Linked DNA regions of Yarrowia lipolytica. The protein of the gene in region 1 interacts with the protein of each later gene in a biochemical or structural test. Links are inferred from orthologs where the notes say so. Each region holds a gene or a part of one and is shown on either strand. Other genes may lie near its edges. The genes, in order: YALI1_B01752g and YALI1_E37455g.

Region 1 (9,976 bases):
GATTCCCAAGGCCGAGAGAGGCCTGCATCTGGTTCCCGGGCTGAGACGGGACGGAACCACGTGGCGAGCCGATCTGTACTTTCGCGAGGGTGGTGCCATTGAGTTCCAAAAGGTTCTGGCGGAGAAACACACAGCGTTCAGGGAGAGAGTCCAGAGACAGGTTTCGGTGGCGCGAGACGGCATCGAGCCGGATTTGCCACAGTACGAGGCTCCTCCTGGTTATGAGGAATAGATGGTGGGATGTGGACGAAACACAACAACCGCTTGGGTCTTATCCGACTGTTGACAGATAGACACTCGACTCAGGATACTGGTGGTTACCCATTTCTCCATTTCCCAACGTTTTCCTTCACGTTTGTTCCACGCTCAAGGCCTCTTCTCCTCGTTTTTCTAACGGTTTTTTTCCCCCGCTCAAGGTCTCTGTCAAGGTCTCTTGTCAAGGTCTCTGTCAAGGTCTCTGTCAAGGTCTCTGTCAAGGTCTCTGTCAAGGTCTCTTCTCTACCGCCCACCACCCTACCCAATCATTCGGCCACTCATATACACAACATCAAACGAGTCCCCTGAAGCGGAGAGCCCCACAAGTATAAGAAAGAGTTGGTGCAGAGACGCTTCACACATTCCGCAGTTTTGAAACTCTGAGACGATCGTGCCCTAAACAGAACCTGGGACCCGCGTCACCCAGTCTCACGAGACCCCGACAGCCTCTTTATACGTGTACGGTATATCGAGATAACTTATTGCATCATTTTGCCATGAGATGAGACAAGCATAAAAATGATATTTTGATGATGGTTACGTGGTAATACCCAGCCAGGCATTGAAAGTATATCTGCTACAGACTAATGAGTGGTGCCATTCGACAGCTGGAGCCCGACCGATCTCCACAATGTATTTCCTTAACCCAGGGCTACTAAATTGAAAATATGGAAGTACACCAAGATCGAGGAGGTCTGCTCTATGAATGTTGAAAGTGGGTCTTACGGTTAGATGCTTATAAAGCTGTCTTATTGTAGTATCATAGTCCCGTGACAGGGCTAAGGGGTCCGTAAGGCGCACTTTGGCGCATAGACTTTACGGTATATCATCCGGAACAGCCACATTTTTTCATTTTCAGCATTTCGAGAGCTGATTGAAGCGGAATTGGAAATGTAGACTCCGGAATGAGGCAATTTCGAAGTCCCCGTGTCTCTAGCTTGTCTGTATCGATTTCTAAAGTCGTTACACATCATGGGTTAGCTCGACAGTATGTAGGTGTCTTCACAATTGCCAAATGCGCATCTTGTAGTAGAAGATATGTATTCCTGGAGTATTTCCATGGTGCTATACCACCAAACATCCGCCCTTTGTTGTCATGGTTATTCCATTGCTATTATCCCTCGTTGTTAACGCCAGTATATATGTCGGAGTCATCAAATCAGGACCAGGATGTACTAAAAATGCTACAGATTCCATTATAAACACTCAAATGTATAGTTTCAAGTTTCTGGGGGCATCCAATGAGTGGTTGAAACACGTCAGTCAACTCCCCAAACGTCCTATGTGCTTCCTACACTAAGTATCAATGATATTCATACGACCTTCAGTAGGGTGACCGGATGCACAGCGAGACGATGAAACTTCAGATTGAAAAGTAACATGAAGTTGGAAAGTCGTCAGTAGTTGAGAAATGTCATGTTAAATCCATTACCAAAGTCTTTGATAACCAGATTTATTCTCTAGTCGAGTTATCGTCATATTATTAGATGGTCTCTTGTAAGACCTGTTCCCAAGGCAAGAAGAGCAATCGAAAAGAAACTGGAACGGATAAAACTCTCAAGATAAATAAAGTAGAGAAAGATCACTTGGAACCCGCAGTCCTTTGGATTCTGTTGTTTATCTCATACAAAAACACTCCATGTTCACATCTTTTTACTCAACAAAATATTAGCCTAATTCCAACAAAAAGCTAACTACTGGCTCAACTAAAACCCAACACAACATCCCCCAAGATTGACACAACCAGACTTATCATAGTGCCAATAACATCCACAAGTGAATTTCTGCTAAGAATGTAGATCTTTTAAACCCCCCGATATACTCATAATCCCTTTTAGTTCCTCGGAACATCAAAATACAACCCCCAGAACAAAACCCCCTTAACAATTTCCCAACTAACAATAACTAAAGAAATAACGGAAACAAAAGTACCATTCAAACAATCCTGTAGTAACCGCAGCGACTCAAAAACTTCCCACACAGCTATTACACACCTGATAAACCTCCTTATCAACTCCCCAACCATCTACCTATCTCCACAAAACTTCTACAATACAATTTGGTAGTACCGTTCATGCCACTGGCGCTACACTATCTACACCATCTATAATGGAATCTGAACCTACTCCAGAAAAACACACGCCTGATTTCTAGCAATTATGGACTCCAGTAATCGCGCCAGAATAATGCTCGTACTCTTTCACCCACTATTACTAATCTCACGGACTATTACTAATCATCTACACCCTCCAAAAAAAATCACATTCGAAATCAAACGCTCTTCAGGTAACCTCGGATTGGTATCTCCTCAGAGATATTACAAAGATTCTACACGCTGACTAATCAACCTTAGCTACAACTATCAACGCCAATAACAAGTATCCCTACTGACTACAGTTACAATCCACGGGCTACACGGAGCCCTGGATGTCTCGCACTCACAAGCGCACCCACTCACGCGCTGCGCTCATGCCTGTTGGAATATCGGTATATCACCTTGACTATGCTCTTCCTTTTATCCTCCACTGCAGTCCTCTGCTTCCTGTCCTGTACATTGCTGACGCAATCACTCAAAATCGCCAGCCTCCTCGTCAGCATCATCATCATCTCCATCCACCAGCTTGTTCTGCTGCTCAGTCTTCTCCATAAGCTTGGCGAGCTCGGCATCGTCGGTCTCAGTGACGGCCTTGGGCTCCATCTTGACCGTCAGAGAGCCGCCGGACGCCTCAATGCTCTCTCGAATCTTCTCAATCGCCTCGCCGAGAGTGTCGATGGCCTTCTGCTTGTCCAGACAGGTGGAGGTGAGCACAAACAGAGGAGCGGCCACCAGCTTGACCTTGACGGGCACCAGCTCCGAGTTGAGCGTCTCACCGGCCGCCAGCGCCTTCTTGATCGCCTCAATGCCCTCGTAGGCAAAACAGGTGATGTCAATGTCAGCTCGCACCTTGACGGGGTTGGGGGTCAGTCGCCGGCCAATCTGGGCCTTGAGATCCTCCATGATGGCGGGAGAAGCAGGGTCCTCCAGATCGCCAAACACCTGGTCGGGGTTGGTGATGGACAGCTTGAAGCCGTCGTAGGCATGGCCATACTTGGTGCTCAGCGGCCAGCCCACCTGTTCGTACAGCTTTTCTAGCGAGTACTTGTGTTTCTCCGCCACGTGCCGCAGAATCGAGTGCACAGTCTTGGACTTGGTGTACTTTTCCTCACACTTTTCCACGTCCTCGGCGCTCACTCGCCGTTTCGACAGATCGATGTAGCCCTTGTCCTTGTCCACTCGCAGAACAACCACAATCTCGTTCTTGCCCACCTTGATGTGCTTCTGGATGGACCGGATACGTCGTCGCGACAGCTCCGACAGCAGAATCATGCCCTCAATGTCGTCGTACTCAAGCAGCTTGACGTACGCGCCCATGTCGGCAATCTCCTTGACGTTGACCATCACCAGGTCGTCGACCTCGGGGTACTTGTTGGCGTAGAATCGGCAGGTGGTCGTGTTGACTTCGTCCATTTTTTTGCTGCTTGTGTCGGTGGGTGGTGAGATTGGATTCGGACATGACTGATTGCATGAGGATTTTTCAGCTACAGTTTTAGGTTGGTCACGTGGCGGGAACCGAGGTTGTTGGTTCGATTCCCACTGGGCACGGATGGATGTAGTTTATGGGAGCTGAGGAAGCGGAAATAATGGCTCACAATATGGCACAGACCGTTTTGCATGGGCCAGATACGCCATCTGAAATAATCTTCAGATTCGGGAAGACTCTGATTCAGGAAGACTCTTAATCTATGATCAGCCTTCCCCCTCCCCAGAAAGCTTAAATTATGTGGAACTAGCACAACCACAGATGCATGCACTTGTGCAGTGTGCACACGTGCCACACCAGCCAGTTTGTGTCAGACATGAACACCAAACAGGAAAGTCAGCATCTTCAGAAGGATACTCTCCAGAAGGATACTCTCCAGAAGGATACCCTCCAGAAGGATACCCTCCAGGAGGAGAACCCATGAAAGATACCCTAGTCTCACGTGAGTCCACGTGACTCTCCTCAATTCAATGACCCCCGTCTCCCCATCCTATCCTCCACACGTCCGCCGAATTGGAGACAGAACATGATTGCGTCCGCCGCTTTGATTGTGTGGTGGAAAGAGATGGAAAAACAGGTGTGGAGAAGGAAGAGTTGGTTTCGGAGGCGGACATGGGCTTTATATATCAAGGTGGAGCGGGACTTTGTGTAATAAGGTGTGGTTGGTGGAGATGTTGGCGAGGCGGTGGGCGCTGGTCACGTGACCGAGATGGCGGGGGTGTTGGCGTTGGTCACGTGACGCAATAGAAATCTGTCTCAGGTTTGATTTAGATTTCATCAGATGTGTTTTCTTGACGGGGTGTTGAATTTGGGGTTGATTTGGTGGGGGAATCCACTTGGCTCGTTATTGTTCGTCATTCAGATCGATCATGGGCCAGCTGGAATCGGTTTGTTGAGAATGATCAGAGGGTTCTTTTCTTCTTTTCTTCTTTTCTTCTTCTTTTCTTCTTTCTTTCGTTTACAGCGATGAACAGCCGTCGCAAAGGTAAGGGAAAGGGGCTACAAGAATCTGAAGACAGCTGCGCCATGAACGTTTGTCATTTCTTTTCGATGGAAAATATTGAGACGGTTCTAGAATCTCTGAAGGGTTTGATTCGTTGTGTTGTCTTCTGTGACTTTGGTACAATGGCAATGCCGCAAAAGTTCCAAAAGACCACTCCTGATTACCCGAGAAACTTCTGGAGAAGCGCGCTCTTTCTCATCCCAGACATGGCACTCCTTATTAGTCATAGGGGGGCAGTTGTTGACAAATCACAAGTGCTAAAAGTGCCCAATTAACCCCATTCACTTCCCCAAGTCTTCTCAGTGGAGTTTTCTAATTCCGAGACGGAAAACACTGTCATTGAGATGGTTCCAGGTGGCTCTGAGTCAGTTCCATTTCTCTCTGAATCATTTCCCGAATCAGTTCTCTCTGGAGCAGGGGTTGTCTTCTGATCCGACGGTTCCACCATCATGTGTGGACCGCTAACCAGTTCCTTCCGACTCGGTGAGCGTTCCTCAAAATAGAACCATTTGAAAGCTGGAGACGAGCCGATTACGACTCAGCAGCACCATTTCCGCACAGCAATGACCAGTCAAAAGTTGGGTACAATGCTCATCCCAATTGCTCCCCAAAACCAATGCTCCTTGAAGCCGTGACGATTCCCAACACTATGATGAATGAAAGGACCGAAAGTTGCAAAAATGAAATTCTGATGAGAAAGTTGTTGTTGTTTTTCCATCGACTGCCGCCAACCGAACTGTCAGACAGAGACAGGACCGAACCAAGCGCCATTTGACGTCTTCCACAGCTCATGCAGCAAACATCCCGCCACGACTGGACAGTCTAGATATCGACATGGCATGTTCGGTGTCTGTTCGGTACCCGGAGGGCCAGCTTCGAAGGTGGCACTCCAGATCTCGAGGTAGCACTACATGCCCTTCTCCATCTCCTGTTCTACCTCTTTTGTTGCGATTTTGTCGTTCCTACTTTCGCCACATACATCTCATGCCTTCACTTGATGATACCTCAGGAACGAGTAATGCCACCGGTTGAAAAGGTAGGTATAACTGTTCCTCTGGTATAGGGCGTTGAAATGAGTCTACTCTTGTACCTACAGGCCAACTACACAACTACCTACTCAAGTTATCCCTTCACTATTGTGCTCTACTATCACCTGGACTAGATCCTGAATACAATACTGTGCCTAGAGAGATGGGAAGTTGATCAAAATGAAACTTGACGTCTGAAGGTCATTTCAGGTCACCGTCTCCGTTTCATTTGGCGCATTATCCATCGTTCTGGAGCGCGGTTCATGCTATAGGGGGAATGCCAACCTTTCAACTATACTTCTAACAAATAATAGTTGATGATGAAAAAAAGATATCCGCACAGAACGAAGTATTGTATAGCAAAAATGTTCAAAATACAGAAAAAACCATGAAACCAATATCGTAGAATCCATCTAGACAAACGCCATATCTCCACCGCCTCTGGATCCCTAGATAAAGACCCCAAGTCAAGTTTTGATGTCAACAAAGTCTAACTAATATTTGTTAAATTAAAGAGAGCTGGACATCTACAACAAATCGAGTCCAGGACCGCGAGTCACGTGTTAAGTCACATGTTAAGTCACATGTTAAGTCACGTGTTAAGTATCTTATAACGTGAAACCGCTTCTCTCGATACGTGAGTGATCTGGATCTGGATCAGAGTGTGTGTGCAATCTCTGCCAGTCACGTGACTAAAATCCTTCACGTGACTTGAACACCCAAGAATTACCACCCAAAGACACAAAACGAAAGTAACATGTCATTATTCTATGTAAAATATCTATTGTCTCCAGTCAGTCAGTAGCTGACAGTGGTTAGAGCAGAGCTGACAGTAGTGAGCTGAAAAGAGTGAAGAGTTGAGTACTCTTACTGCTCCGCATCTGAGCGATGCATCTTCGCCGTTCGCTCTAGCGGTCCAGAATCTCCAACAATTGGTTCTTGAAAACAGGCAGCATTTTGGGAATCTCGGTAATATCCGGTCGCTGGGGCGGCAAGTCGCTGGACTGCTGCTTCTGTTCAATCTTCCGGGCCAACTGTCGTCGTCGTCTCTCCTCTTCCACCGCATCCAGCTGTCCCTCGCTCTTGCCCATGATAGCGCGGTCCTCTAGATCCAGCTCCGCCACGTCCAATTCCAGCTCGTTAATGTCTTCAATATCGATTCCGAAATCGCCCGTGTTGATGCCGTTGGCTCCTCCTGGCAAGGTCGAGTCCCATCGCGTGTCAATGTCGTCCTCCGCGTCAGCACCCATGGCTGCAAGGGTCGAGTTGACCGAAGACGACCTCGACAACCGCTTAACTCCGCCGTCACGCATCTGCTGGGCTGCCGCGGCGCGCAGATCGTACCAGTCCTTTCGTCGTCGTGTCCAGTCGACAATCTGGTCCACCTCAAACACCACCCTCTCCTTGTCACCGGGGTAGTTGGCCAGCATCATTTCGAGATCAAGAGGAGCTCCATGCTGCTGGCCGTCCTTCAGAAAGAGAATAATGTCCGAAATCCAGCCCATGAGCTGGTCAAACAGACCGCCGTCGTGCTGGTACACATTGTGGATGAACTTGAACAGAGAGTCAACGTGTCGGTTGCACAGGTCCACAAACAGTTGGACCTGCGAATTGGCGTCCGAAGTGAGCGAATCAATCTCACTCTTGCTGACCGTCTTGATCAGGTCGTCGGCAAACCGCTGAAGATCTCCCACTGCCTCAGAAATATGGGCATCCTTGAAGACCCGAATCAGGGGCTCGTAGAAGATGGTGATCAGATCCTTGACTAGCTGAACGGTCGCCTTCTCATTGATCAGATCCTGGAACAGGTCCTTGTCTCGCTTTCTGGTCAAATGCTTCAGCAAGTTCTTGGTGGCAGAAAACTTGAGCACCTCGTCGGACTGAACTTCATGGGGATCGTTACTCGGCTCCTCCTCCACCGCATTGTCCCACCGTTCGTACCACAGCTGCACAGTGCGCTCCTGTTCCCAGGAATGGTTCTCTTCTGCCTGCAGCTTGAAAATGGCCAGCACCATGTCGCAGTCATGAGCATGCTTGGTCTTGAGCACCCGCTGATGAGTGGCCTCGTCAGCGTAGACAAAATCCTCCAGTCCCTGACACACAGAATCATCGGCAATGAGCAGCTTGAGCTCCTTGATGGCCCGCTCCTGCTGCTTGATGTCTTCTTGTAACATGTACCAGATGATATTCTGGAAGAGCGACTTGCGGCCAAACGGCTGGGCCAGGAACAGATCCATCATTCCCTTCATGATCGAGACGGGGTTGGACAGCCGCAAAATGCCCTTGATCACCGTGTACGGAATGAACCGGTGAAGACGACACACCTGCGCAAACACCTCGGGAGCATTGTCCGACGCCACAAACATGTGGAACAGCGTGGCGGCAAACTCAATCGTCGCCCACTTGATGAACTTTTGGAACCGGGGACTCAGGTCACGTGCGCTGCTCTTGTCCCGGATCTCGTCGAAAATGTGTTTCAGACCATCTTCCCGCACAAGATCTTGCTTGAACTCCTGGAGGTAAACGTTGAGCTCCTGCGCTCGGGCTTGGGCAACCTCGTAGAACTGCAGCTGGTCACGCACACGGGCAATGTCGACTTTTCGACGCAGCTCCATATCGCGAATCTCGTTGGGTGTCATTTGAATGGGGTCCATGTAGAGAAACTCGAGGAGCGTCTTGGAGTTGGCTACCATTCGGTTTGACACCAGAGTATGAAGGTAGGCACGGAGGGTGGTTCGTTGTTTCTCACGCGGAAGACTTACTCTCTTTCCATCGTGATGGACGTTGGCGGTATCGTCATCATCAATATGCTCCTCTGCGTCGTTGAGCTCGTCTTCGGGGTCGTCGTTTTCGGTGTCGACAAAGCCGCCGATACCTGAGGACGTGGCCTGGGAGGCAGCACGGTTACGCACGGGCAAATTGGGCAGCCCACGTCCGGGAAACTCCCGGTGTAGCTTCTTGGCCAGCTCCTTGAAGTCGTGGAAGGTGCGTGCGACCACAACGGTTCGGCCCTCATGAGACTCCATTTTCGTCTCAATGAGGTACTCGGCGCTCACGTGGTCGCCGGCTAGAAACGAGAGCATTCGTTTGGTTCGGATTTCGCGCACTCCCACGACATTGACGCACAGGCCGTTAATGAATTTTCCACTGGCCAAGGACGATAGGACTTTTTTGTGGTCCAGCTGCTCGACGCCGGCGGTGGCCGGTTTCTCCACCTTGGCCGCGGGCTCGTCGACGTTGGTGGTCATGAGGCCGGCAGACATGTACATTGCAAAGGCTTTTTTGATCCGCAGGGAGATTTTCGATCGCTTTGTGTCTTCGGCTCTGTCTTCCGATGAGGAGATGTTCTTGTCTGCGAACGACTCTAGAAACGCCTGGAGCCGCAGTTGCCAAAAGTCGCGGTCGTCGGCTTTGCTGAGAAACGGAAACGTCTTGATGTGGTGGACAAACATGTGGCGGACAATGGGGAATTGGTAGACCACGGGGCCGTTGGGGCCGTTGGGGCCATTGGGGCCGTTGGTGGTGGCGAGGGTTCGGTTGGGGGTTGCGTTTCCGGTGCTGGGGGTTGTGTAGCCGGTATCGTGGGGCATTGCGCTGAGGCTCAGGTCGCCGTAGTTTTCGTCGTGGGAGTCGTAGAAGTGGTCTTCGTGGTCGTGGTCACCACCGTGGCCGTGGCCCTTGAGATGCGGAATGTGAATGTGTTTCTTGATGTGGCTGCCCTTCTTCTTGATGTGTTTGATGGACCCCATGACGCTGTGGTGGGATCCTCCGGAGCTCTGCGGCTCCAGCACCGGCGACCCGATCGTCGGCGTGTAGTGGTCGCCGTCGTGGAAGCCCTCGGTCCCTTCGATGATCGGCTCCGGCGTGTGACTGGGGCCATTGGGCGCAAACGGCGCTCCGAACTTGCGCAGACCCCGAAAGTCGGCCAGCTCGGCAAACTCGTCTTCGATTTCGAGCCGCACCAGCTCGCGCTTCAGATAGTGCTCCTGGATGGGCTGCAGTTGGACCCGGTTGGACATTGTGATTGGTCCGAGTGAAACGACGAGGGAAAAAAGTGGTGGTGCAAAAAGTGAAGAGAAGGAGGAGACGTTACATGCCGCATATTCACA
Region 2 (9,397 bases), on another chromosome or scaffold:
CATGGGCGAATTGGCGTTGGTCTGGGACATTTGGATCTGTACCTCCTGGTTTGGGGTCTGAACCTGGGTCTGAACCTGTGGCATAGTCTGTGCTTGCGTCATAACCTGAACATTTTGGCCCTGAGGAACTCCCTGTGCCATGCTCTGTCCTTGAACACCCTGAGGAATGCTCTGACCCGGAAGACTCTGGCCTGGAAGACTCTGGCCTGGAAGACTCTGGCCTGGAAGACCCAGCTGAATACCATGTCCGTGTCCATTCACCCCATTCATACCGTGACCCTCAGACTGAACCTGGACTGTATGGCCAGCATAGTATGCCGAGTTGTACATGTACGACGGCTGCTGGTAATAACTGTTGTAGTGGTACCCGTTGACCTGTCCCTGGGTCTGACCCTGGCCCTGTATCACACCCGGTCCCTGGTAAATGGTGTTGACTCCAGGCAGAGCTTGTGTCGAGTTTTGGCTGTGGTTGATATGTGCAGCAGCAGGACTGGGGTTCATGGGGCTACTGCTGTTCACGTGACTATTATTACCCACATGACTGCTGGCCACATGCCCTCCATTTCCATGCATACGACTCGGAAGACTCTCCTCTTCCTTCTTGACCTTATTCCCACTGCAGCATCCGTTAGAAGCCGGCTTCTCCTCCTTACTGCAACAGGACGACTTCTGCTTCAGTCTGTCAAAGTACTCTTCGGGCTCCAGGCCTGAGGCAGCACATGTGCAGTTTCCGCTGGGATTCTCCTTGAGAAACTGGTTCACTGGCGTGTCCAACACAGTCACCTTTCCGTTTGAAGTGTCGATAATCTTTTTGGAGTGCGCTCCGATTCGAATGATTCCCACACTCTTGGTGGTCTTCTTGAGCGCCGAACTGCCAGGCTTTTTGTCCTCCTCCTTGATTCCAGCCACCGAGTGCTCGGGAACAAGCACAGCAGTCATTCCACACGAGCAGGTGGGCTCGGCGATAACTGCGAGACGGTGTTGACAGGCATGGTTTGGCCGTCCTCTTCTTCGAACTTGCACCAGAGGTCGGTTAGTATGGTCACAGGTGGAACTCCGATGACCGCGGATGCAGTTGAGACACGCGTACTTTTCGCCCTGGACGAGAATCATGTTGGTTGAGTGTGTCTAAAGACGTGATAGTTCGTGTACTATCATTAGTTTGGAGAGGAAGAGATATTGGAGTCGGAAAAGTTTATTGTAAATAAGGTTGCCTCACTCGGAAATGCATGACAAAGGCGGAGATTCTCTAGTCAAGTAGACACTGGGCATAGATAAGGTTGGGGGGATACGGGAGATGAGCAGGGACGACGAACTCACGTGACAGCTAAACTAGGGGACCTTTTCCTAGTCGGGCGCCTCATTTAGGAGCCCCATCAGCCTCCCCCTACCTCCCAAACCACCTCTCGTCTCGACAAACCTAAATAACAAGCAATCCTGCATCCGTGAGCAAATTGAACGTCACGTGACCAAATATGCAGGTGGCGGTATACAGGGTGATTAGTGATCGGTGTGATAGGGTCATGTGACGTCCAACGGCGAAATCACGTGAATCGGGACCAGGGGGGAGCCTGCTGGGCCAGTTATGGTCACGTGACGTACCTGCATAATCCATGCGTTGAGTGAAGGGGTGGGGGATGCTAGAGGCTGGAGGTGTGGTTTTCCAGTATTGCGGGGATCTGGGTAGATGGTTGTAAACCCTGGATCGAGAGGATCACGATGAGCTTTTCCAGTGTCAAAATCGTCTCTCTGTCAAGTTTTAGTCAAGTTTTAGACAAGTTTTAGACAATTTTAGACAATTTTAGAAAAGTTTTCAGGTTCATGTCATCGGGCCATCATAAATACAAGTATTCGTACAAGTATTCGTCGGAGACTGGATAACTTCTCGAGGTTGAGCAATTGGTGAGATCCAATCATGTCTACAAGTACTCGACTTCCTCCTGTTGGTGCCCACCTTGGCTCTTTGTTTCCGTGATCTCCATTTGGACATGCAATATGACATCCGTATGTCTTGTCTAACAAGCGTTTATATGAGATTGCGTTAGCACGATCCCATGCATTGTTAGCGCCAACTTCAGACAATAGCTGTCATCGAGATACAAGTCCAAGTAGACCTGCTCAATGGTACAAGTACTGTAGAGTGGATCTCTCATTTCGAGTGCGTTAGCGTGCTCTTCTCAGCCATTTGAAACGCGGTCCGCATAGACAGAGAGGTGGAGGTAGAGTGGCGCCTCAACGATCAGAAAACGCGACAGTTGTAGGTACAAGTCGCTACACCCGAGTCTGGCGCATCTTGTGAAATACCCTACAATGTTGTTATCGGCGCTCCTGTCTCTTTAATCATGTATTGACCCTTATCAACGCAATCTACAGATGTAAAGAAGCGGTACCTGGCTGAAACAATCAGTTTGTACTTAGCGGTACTTGCACCGTAAATGTCCGCTCTGCTTGTTTTGGTACTGTAGGTAAAACAGCTAGGGGTGCCGGATACGACCTAAAGGCCCTTATTTCAGCCGACACGGTTCTGTTTTTTGTTTAATTACCTCCAACTCAAACGGACGTTCCATCCATTCCAACAATAGGCGGATACTTGTGTCTAACTGTGATGTTAAAGGGCCCGCGCAACTCTGTATCTATCTTCTATTGTTCGCGGCACGAGGTATAGTTACTTAGAGTACCATAGACACGATATCCACGCAGGCTCGAACGGCATTAGATTTCATATGGGCTGTTTTTGGTTTCTCCAAATGAAATTTCACGTGGAGCAAGAGTCAGTCTGATTGTGAGAGGCATGCATCGCCGTTCGAGAGCGGCTCAGACTGTTGTCGTAGCGACAGTCGGCCTCGATACCATTTAGTGGTATATTGCTCGCGATTCAAAAGGCCCGAAATGCCGTCATGTCTTGGACCTTTGTTTCCCAAACCAGTATATTCGCTGCTTCTGTTGCTTTTAGTGTCTCATGACAATGCGATAATTTGTTTCAGTTTGGCCAAAGTGAAATATACACAAAATTAAAAAACAAAAAACAAAAAACAAAAAACAAAAAAAACCGAACCGAAAAAACCAAGTCCACCGGTAGCCACAGAAAAAAAAGTCTGAAAATCGTTGCTCAGATCGCTCCCATGCCGTGCCAGCCCTGGTTTTGTGTTTCCACACACGAGGCTCACGTTCCGGAACGAGTACAGTAGTGCCAAATCTGATGGGGGTTAGCTGAATGTTGAGAGCAGAGTAAAAAGCCGAGTGAGCATGTAGGAGAGCCGAGTGACAGTGGCAGGCATTAATATCTCATCCAACAGACCAGGAAAGACGACATATCGAGGCATTATAGGCGGATCACTCCACCCAACAACTGTTCGTCTCTGTGAAACCTCTCTGGACCCCACTGCTTGTGGTACAATACGAGTGCTGCACTTTTCACTTTCATCCTTGGACACGCCATAAACAGTTTAATCACCGCACCTGTCCAAATCAACGCCCAACAGCAATAACAGGCCTTTTATGAGATCTCCGTTAATATCTCATTGTTATCTGTCATTGACTCAACAAGCCCGCGGTGTTTACTTATGCTACCCCGTATATCTCAGGTGAGAGTCTACTTGTACTGAATCGTACATACGAGCGTTTGGATTCTACAGGGTGGGCCTATAGGTGTTCAAATATGGTCAGTGTTCACATAAGCCCGAGAGAGGGCCCCCAGTTTGTTGCCAAAGAGGAGTCACCAGTCGTCCCTCACAGATACAAACACGTGCAAAGTCCCTCAGCCGGGGCTAGAAACGGACACTTTTCACGCCCATTTGCTGTGTATATGAAAGGCAATCTAGCATACGCGCTCGTAACAAGAGACTTCATTTCGGATATTGAGGGCAAGTGTCTTGGATAGCTGTACTAATGTGGATGGTAAATGAGGTAGGAGTTATGGAGATCAACTCGATTGGGGTGTGAGGTGTCTGATTAGGGAGAGGCGGGAGGGGTCAGAGATGAGAGTTTGGATCTTAACGGGTTTACTTGGCAGGTGCCAACTGGAGCGATCGAATTCGTAACAAATTCATCGCTGCAATTATTGTAGCTATCGAAGGGAACAACCGGTATAATAGGAAACTGATAATATCAAAATACAGGAAATTGCCCGGAAATTACGAACGTGTTAAAATATCATCAAAAAATCTGCAAACCACCCAATAATATCATCACGTAAGATTCCATCACGATAGGAGCAAAAGTCTCTCAAGTGACCATTGTTTCTTCTTAGACCAAATAAAATGAGACCTCTTGATGAGAAATATTGTCATGGATATCCCAACATCAAGAGTATCTTTCTACAATACACACGTCAGCCATAACAAGCATTTCATATTCATTAACAAATTACAACTATCTCAACTCACATTACTTATCAACCCTACTTACCCGCCATGACTGAATCTAAGGTTCCATGTTCACGTGAGCGAAAAGAGCAGATCGGGCGGCATCCCCTAGGTGTTTAATAGTGGTGCCTAGAGTGGATTGAATAGAGATCTGAAAATTGGATATAAGATAAAATGGCCATTGGAGTATAAATCCGCTACTACGCCTCCTAAAAAGTCCCCATGACAGTTCCAAGATACTCATATACCATTTCCCCCAAAGGTTACCCTACCTCAACATAAAGTTTTACCGTGGTACAGTGAAAAATGATATCTCAAATTACCACCAGCAGTATCACAAACACCACACACATCATGTCGGACATTGAAGATAAGAAGGTGGAGAGTCTGGACTTCGACCCCTCTCTCAAGAAGAAGAAGAAGAAGAGCAAGCCTGCATTTGTGGAGGATGACGAGGTCTCCGAGGTTGCCGACAAGCTGGACGATCTCAAGACCTCTGCTGCCGCTGACGATGTGGACGAGTTTGATTTCAAGAAGAAGAAGAAGAAGAAGAAGGCCCCTAGCGCTCTGTCCGAGTTCGACGAGGAGCTGGAGAAGGCTGGTGTCGACGAGGACCCCGTTGCCTCTGGAGAGAAGGTCACCTACACTCTTGACGGAGAGAAGGAGTTCACATACCCCGAGCTCCTGAGCCGATTTTTCGACATTCTGCGGGAGAACAACCCCGAGCTGGCCGGCGACCGGTCGTCCAAGTACAAGATTCCTCCTCCTCAGCTGCTGCGAGACGGAAAGAAGTCGATTTTCGCCAACATTCAGGAAATCGCCTCCAAGATGCACAGATCTCCCGAGCACGTGGCCATGTTCATTTTCGCCGAGTTGGGTACCTCCGGATCCACCGACGGAAACGATCGACTTGTCATCAAGGGTCGATTCCAGCAAAAGGGTATGGAGACCGTTCTCAGACGGTACATTGTGGACTACGTGTCTTGCGCCACTTGCAAGTCCGTTAACACCCGACTCACCAAGGAGAACCGACTCACCTTCCTGGACTGTAACTCGTGTGGATCCCGACGATCCGTCTCGTCCATCAAGACCGGTTACTCTGCCCAGATCGGACGACGAAAGAAGATGTAGACGACCCGTCTACACAGATAGAAAAAAGGAGAATGAATGGATTATTGATATTGCAAAGAACAGAAGCCGGATTCAAGGACCATTTGACAAGACCATGACCTTTTTATTTGTGTGCCAAAGAACTGGGTTTACAGGATGTGTCCGGGTTGCGGGATGCAACAGTAGAACCCAGCTCGAATTGTAGATAGACGCGTGTAGCGTTACTGAGACGTGACTTTTGACTCGAGCCATTGAGTGACAGTGACTTCCAGAACCGACTCTTGTAATAATTCTCAGTGTAGACCTTCATGTACCTGGAGATGTATCATACACTCACTATAGGTTTGGTTACAGTACGACCGTTACAGCGTATCATCTCCTAGAGAAGTGCAATATTGCAATTCAGGAGTTTCCAAGCGTCCAATGATACTGTTCTTGGAGCCACAGGGACCCCGCCAACCATACTAATCATGTATGCTAGGACGATGACGCTACCGCTCTACCACCATCCATTCATATTCTCATGTAATTACATAATGCCATTCAAGCTCATAATGATCAATGAGCTGAAGTGTACCCAAAGGATTCGCCCGACATTATACGCGGCGCATGCATGCTGTTAAGGCGGTCAGATACGCCTACCTCAAGCAACTATACACCCTTGCAACGCCGTCACTGGCACAGGTGGCAATATGGCCCTTCCATATCGACCCTTCCTTTCCAGCTGTCCATGTGACACTGGATGCTGTGGCCGGCGAATTGCAGGCAATCTGCTCTACCGGCTCCGTGGCTCCCACGGTCCAGATCTTGACTCCCAATGAAGCTCCCACAGACGCGAACATCTCTCCCGATGCTGGGTCGACACTGATGGACGACACAGCACCCTTATGGGCATCCACCTGCCACACCAGCCGTCCAGCTAGATCAAATGCTCGGATAACGCCGTCTCGGAAACCTGCCAGCAGCGTGAGCTCCTGGGTGGACGCGTGGGCTCCTCCTACCATGGCCAGACATGTGACGCCGTTGTCCTCGCTGTTGTATGCGTCTTCAATCTTGTGGGTGACGAGTCCACTGCCCACGTCAATGAGGTAAATGTGAGCGTTCTCGTAGCCAACCACCAGCTTCGTGCCGTCCTTGTACAGCAGTACCGACGATGCCGACACAGGCTTGTTGGCAAACGTGTCTTCCGACAGATCGCTGTTTTCGTCCTGAGTGGCACGCTTGGGACCCTCAATGGAATGGAGCATGTCGTTGGTCTTGATACTCCAGATCTTGGTGGTGCCGTCGGTGGATGAAGACACCAGCACAAAGTTGTCTTCGCTCACGTCCAGAGCCACAATGCCCTCTTTGTGCGCGTTGATGTGGAACAGCTCCGTGACCAAGTCCGACTGCCAAAAGCGCACCTTTTTGTCCACGCCGGCGGAGTAGAACATGCCCGACGACTCCGACGCCACCACGGAGGTGACTGTGCCCACGTGACCGGTGTACGTGCTATGCGACTTGGACTCGTGTTTTTTGGCCTTCTCCAAACTCCATCGCTTGATGAGACCGTCTTCCGAGGCGGTCAACAAGGCGGTGGACGACTCGAATGACGACATGTTCAACGCGTTGTTGCCAGTGAGCTCGTGCTGCAGTTTCCAACTGGAAGTAGCGGAAGCATCTCCGTTTTGTGCTTGTGACACTGCTTGTGCCTGAACCGACTGTGCTTGCGTTTGTGTTGTGGGCTGAGTCTGTGGTTGTGACTGCGAATGTGTCGTGGGTTGTGTTTGTGGCTGCGAGTGTGTCGTGGGTTGTGTCAGTTGTTGAGGCTGCTCTTGGACAGGAACACGAGGCACTTCTCGAATGTCGCGGGTGTCTCGCACGGCCTCTCTAGCAGCGGCCTCCCTGTCCTTGGCATCCACATCCACATCGACAACATCAGGATGAAGCAGATACGAAACCTCCTCCAGACACTTGGAGAGATACTGCTGGCCCTCGACGAGTGGAGACGTGTCCAATGGTGGCAATTTGGGCACCTTGGCGTCCTCGCTCTTCAGCGCCTCCATGAGCATTTTGATTTCCTTCTCCTGGCTGGAATTGTGCGCCTTCAGCGACTTGTTTTCGCCCTCCAAGCGAGCTATGCGTGCCTTTGTGTTAGCTCAACGATTCTCGTTCCATCCCACCGCTCGTGTCGGCCAAAAGCCCCTCTTTCTCTCCGCAACTCACCTTCATTTCCGCCCTCTCCAGCTCCCATTGTATTCTGTCCTTTTCGTTCCGCTGCCATTCGCGTTGTAGATACTTCATGACCCCTGTGTTAGTGGTGGGCGTTAAAAAAATGCGGAACGTGGATTTGTACTCACCTGGAAGAGTGTACTCTCCCATGGGCGGGGTTGATGACGCCATGCTGGTGATGATGGGTTGTGTGTCTGGGTGGTGTGTGGACACTACAAGGTGTCTTCTAGTCGTACGTATCAGAAGGACAGTTTGATGACCTCGCATATTACTAAACTGAAATAGGGTTTGCGCTTGTGGGGGGGTGCACGGAGGACCCGGACGCGTGTTCGATTCCCAACATGGCTGAATTAAACGAGATTGTTAGCTTGCACAATGAAAAATAAAACAGGATACTGTACTTACTTGACTCCAACTTGTTCCAGTACAAGGATAGAACAAATATAGATGGTAGTTCTCCGAATGACTAATCAGACTATAAAAGACGTACACAAACACCTCTCTTATCTCCACGGAAATATCGGCTGGTACATGTACTGGTGTACAATACAAACGAATCTGTCTGTTTCTGGAGACCTTATGATGACACACGTGGAGGAGGTGTCATCTGACAGACACCCCGGTTCAGTGTTGTTTCAGTCAAGTTTTCTTCTGGTTGGATCTGGGTGTAAAATTCCTGTAAAATTCCTTCCATAGCCATTCTACAGTATGTACTATTGTAATTCAGACTATCGTGAGACAATATTGTTAAGGATCGGTTAGTGAAGGGTATCTTATGGAGATAGATACTTAGTCAAGCTTAACTAGTCAATTAAAATACATGACACATTTTACTTGATTTTACTCGGAACATATCGTACTGGCAGATAACACGCCGCCACCTGGTCTACACCACTAAATGTACAAGTACCCACACCAATCCTATATTACATTATTAATAATGGCAGTTACGCCACTTGTTAGCCTCTTGGGTACTGACTGTCTTCGATCCCGGACACAGATCAACATTTCATACCGTCTATACGCACAGCTGCGAACCAGCCGAACGTTGCAAATACTTGTAGCACACGTCAGTGCGCGGCTACTTGGTATTCTCCACCACCTTTCGCAGGGGCATGGCCCAGCTGCTGCTTCCGCTCTGTCGCAGCATGAACTGCACCAGCAGCTCCTTGGCGGTGCTGCCCTTGCCCTCATCTGCCAGGACCAGAGCATGGGACGCGATATCACGACACTCCTGGTCCAGACCGGGCAGAAGCTTTCGCAGCTTGACGCAGTAGTGGTCAAACTCGCGCTCGGGCAGCCCGTTGTCCTTCTTGAGCACCTTTTCCATCTGTGCCACCAGATCAGCCTCGGACACGTTGGTCTCGATGGCGTGCTCCTCCGGCTCAGCAGACACTCGCTTGGTCTCTCCGCTGGCCTTTCGGCTCCGGGGGACTCCGATGGGAGGAGGAGGTGGCAAAGAAGCCGAGCTGCTGAGGTTGGTGACTGACGTGTTAGCAGACACAGAGGCCGACGAGCCGCCTAGGGAGGTGTTGGAAGTGTTGGAGCGCGAGTAGATGGGCTTGGAGAACATGTTGAGATCCAGATCATTATAACCGGCGCCCTTGTACTGGGTCTGTGACGATTCGACCATGTTTAGAACTGTAGCAATGTGATATGTAAGAGACTATATGTATGTGCTTATTGGATCAAGATGGTGACGTGTTGGCAAC

The links.
Region 2: the proteins of YALI1_B01752g (region 1) and YALI1_E37455g form a complex in vitro, tested with the Saccharomyces cerevisiae proteins (3 studies listed by BioGRID). The link is inferred for Yarrowia lipolytica from reciprocal best matches to the Saccharomyces cerevisiae genes SUI2 and SUI3.

Annotation. Positions count from the first base shown.
Region 1 is NC_090771.1:171,496-181,471, forward strand, and holds YALI1_B01752g (uncharacterized protein), read right to left. Parts: upstream 3,764-9,976; coding exon 2,822-3,763; downstream 1-2,821. Other genes in the region: YALI1_B01711g (uncharacterized protein), read left to right, coding at 1-232; YALI1_B01719g (uncharacterized protein), read right to left, coding at 318-498, 542-618; YALI1_B01725g (uncharacterized protein), read right to left, coding at 793-1,055, 1,099-1,117; YALI1_B01760g (uncharacterized protein), read right to left, coding at 4,299-4,528, 4,572-4,614; YALI1_B01771g (uncharacterized protein), read left to right, coding at 5,674-5,866, 5,917-6,008; YALI1_B01813g (uncharacterized protein), read right to left, coding at 6,776-9,886. UniProt on the Saccharomyces cerevisiae protein: eIF-2 functions in the early steps of protein synthesis by forming a ternary complex with GTP and initiator tRNA. This complex binds to a 40S ribosomal subunit, followed by mRNA binding to form a 43S pre-initiation complex.
Region 2 is NC_090774.1:3,740,827-3,750,223, forward strand, and holds YALI1_E37455g (uncharacterized protein), read left to right. Parts: upstream 1-4,670; coding exon 4,671-5,495; downstream 5,496-9,397. Other genes in the region: YALI1_E37419g (uncharacterized protein), read right to left, coding at 1-1,113; YALI1_E37441g (uncharacterized protein), read right to left, coding at 2,950-3,284, 3,343-3,439; YALI1_E37484g (uncharacterized protein), read right to left, coding at 6,113-7,600, 7,680-7,762, 7,814-7,856; YALI1_E37494g (uncharacterized protein), read left to right, coding at 8,584-9,174. UniProt on the Saccharomyces cerevisiae protein: Component of the eIF2 complex that functions in the early steps of protein synthesis by forming a ternary complex with GTP and initiator tRNA.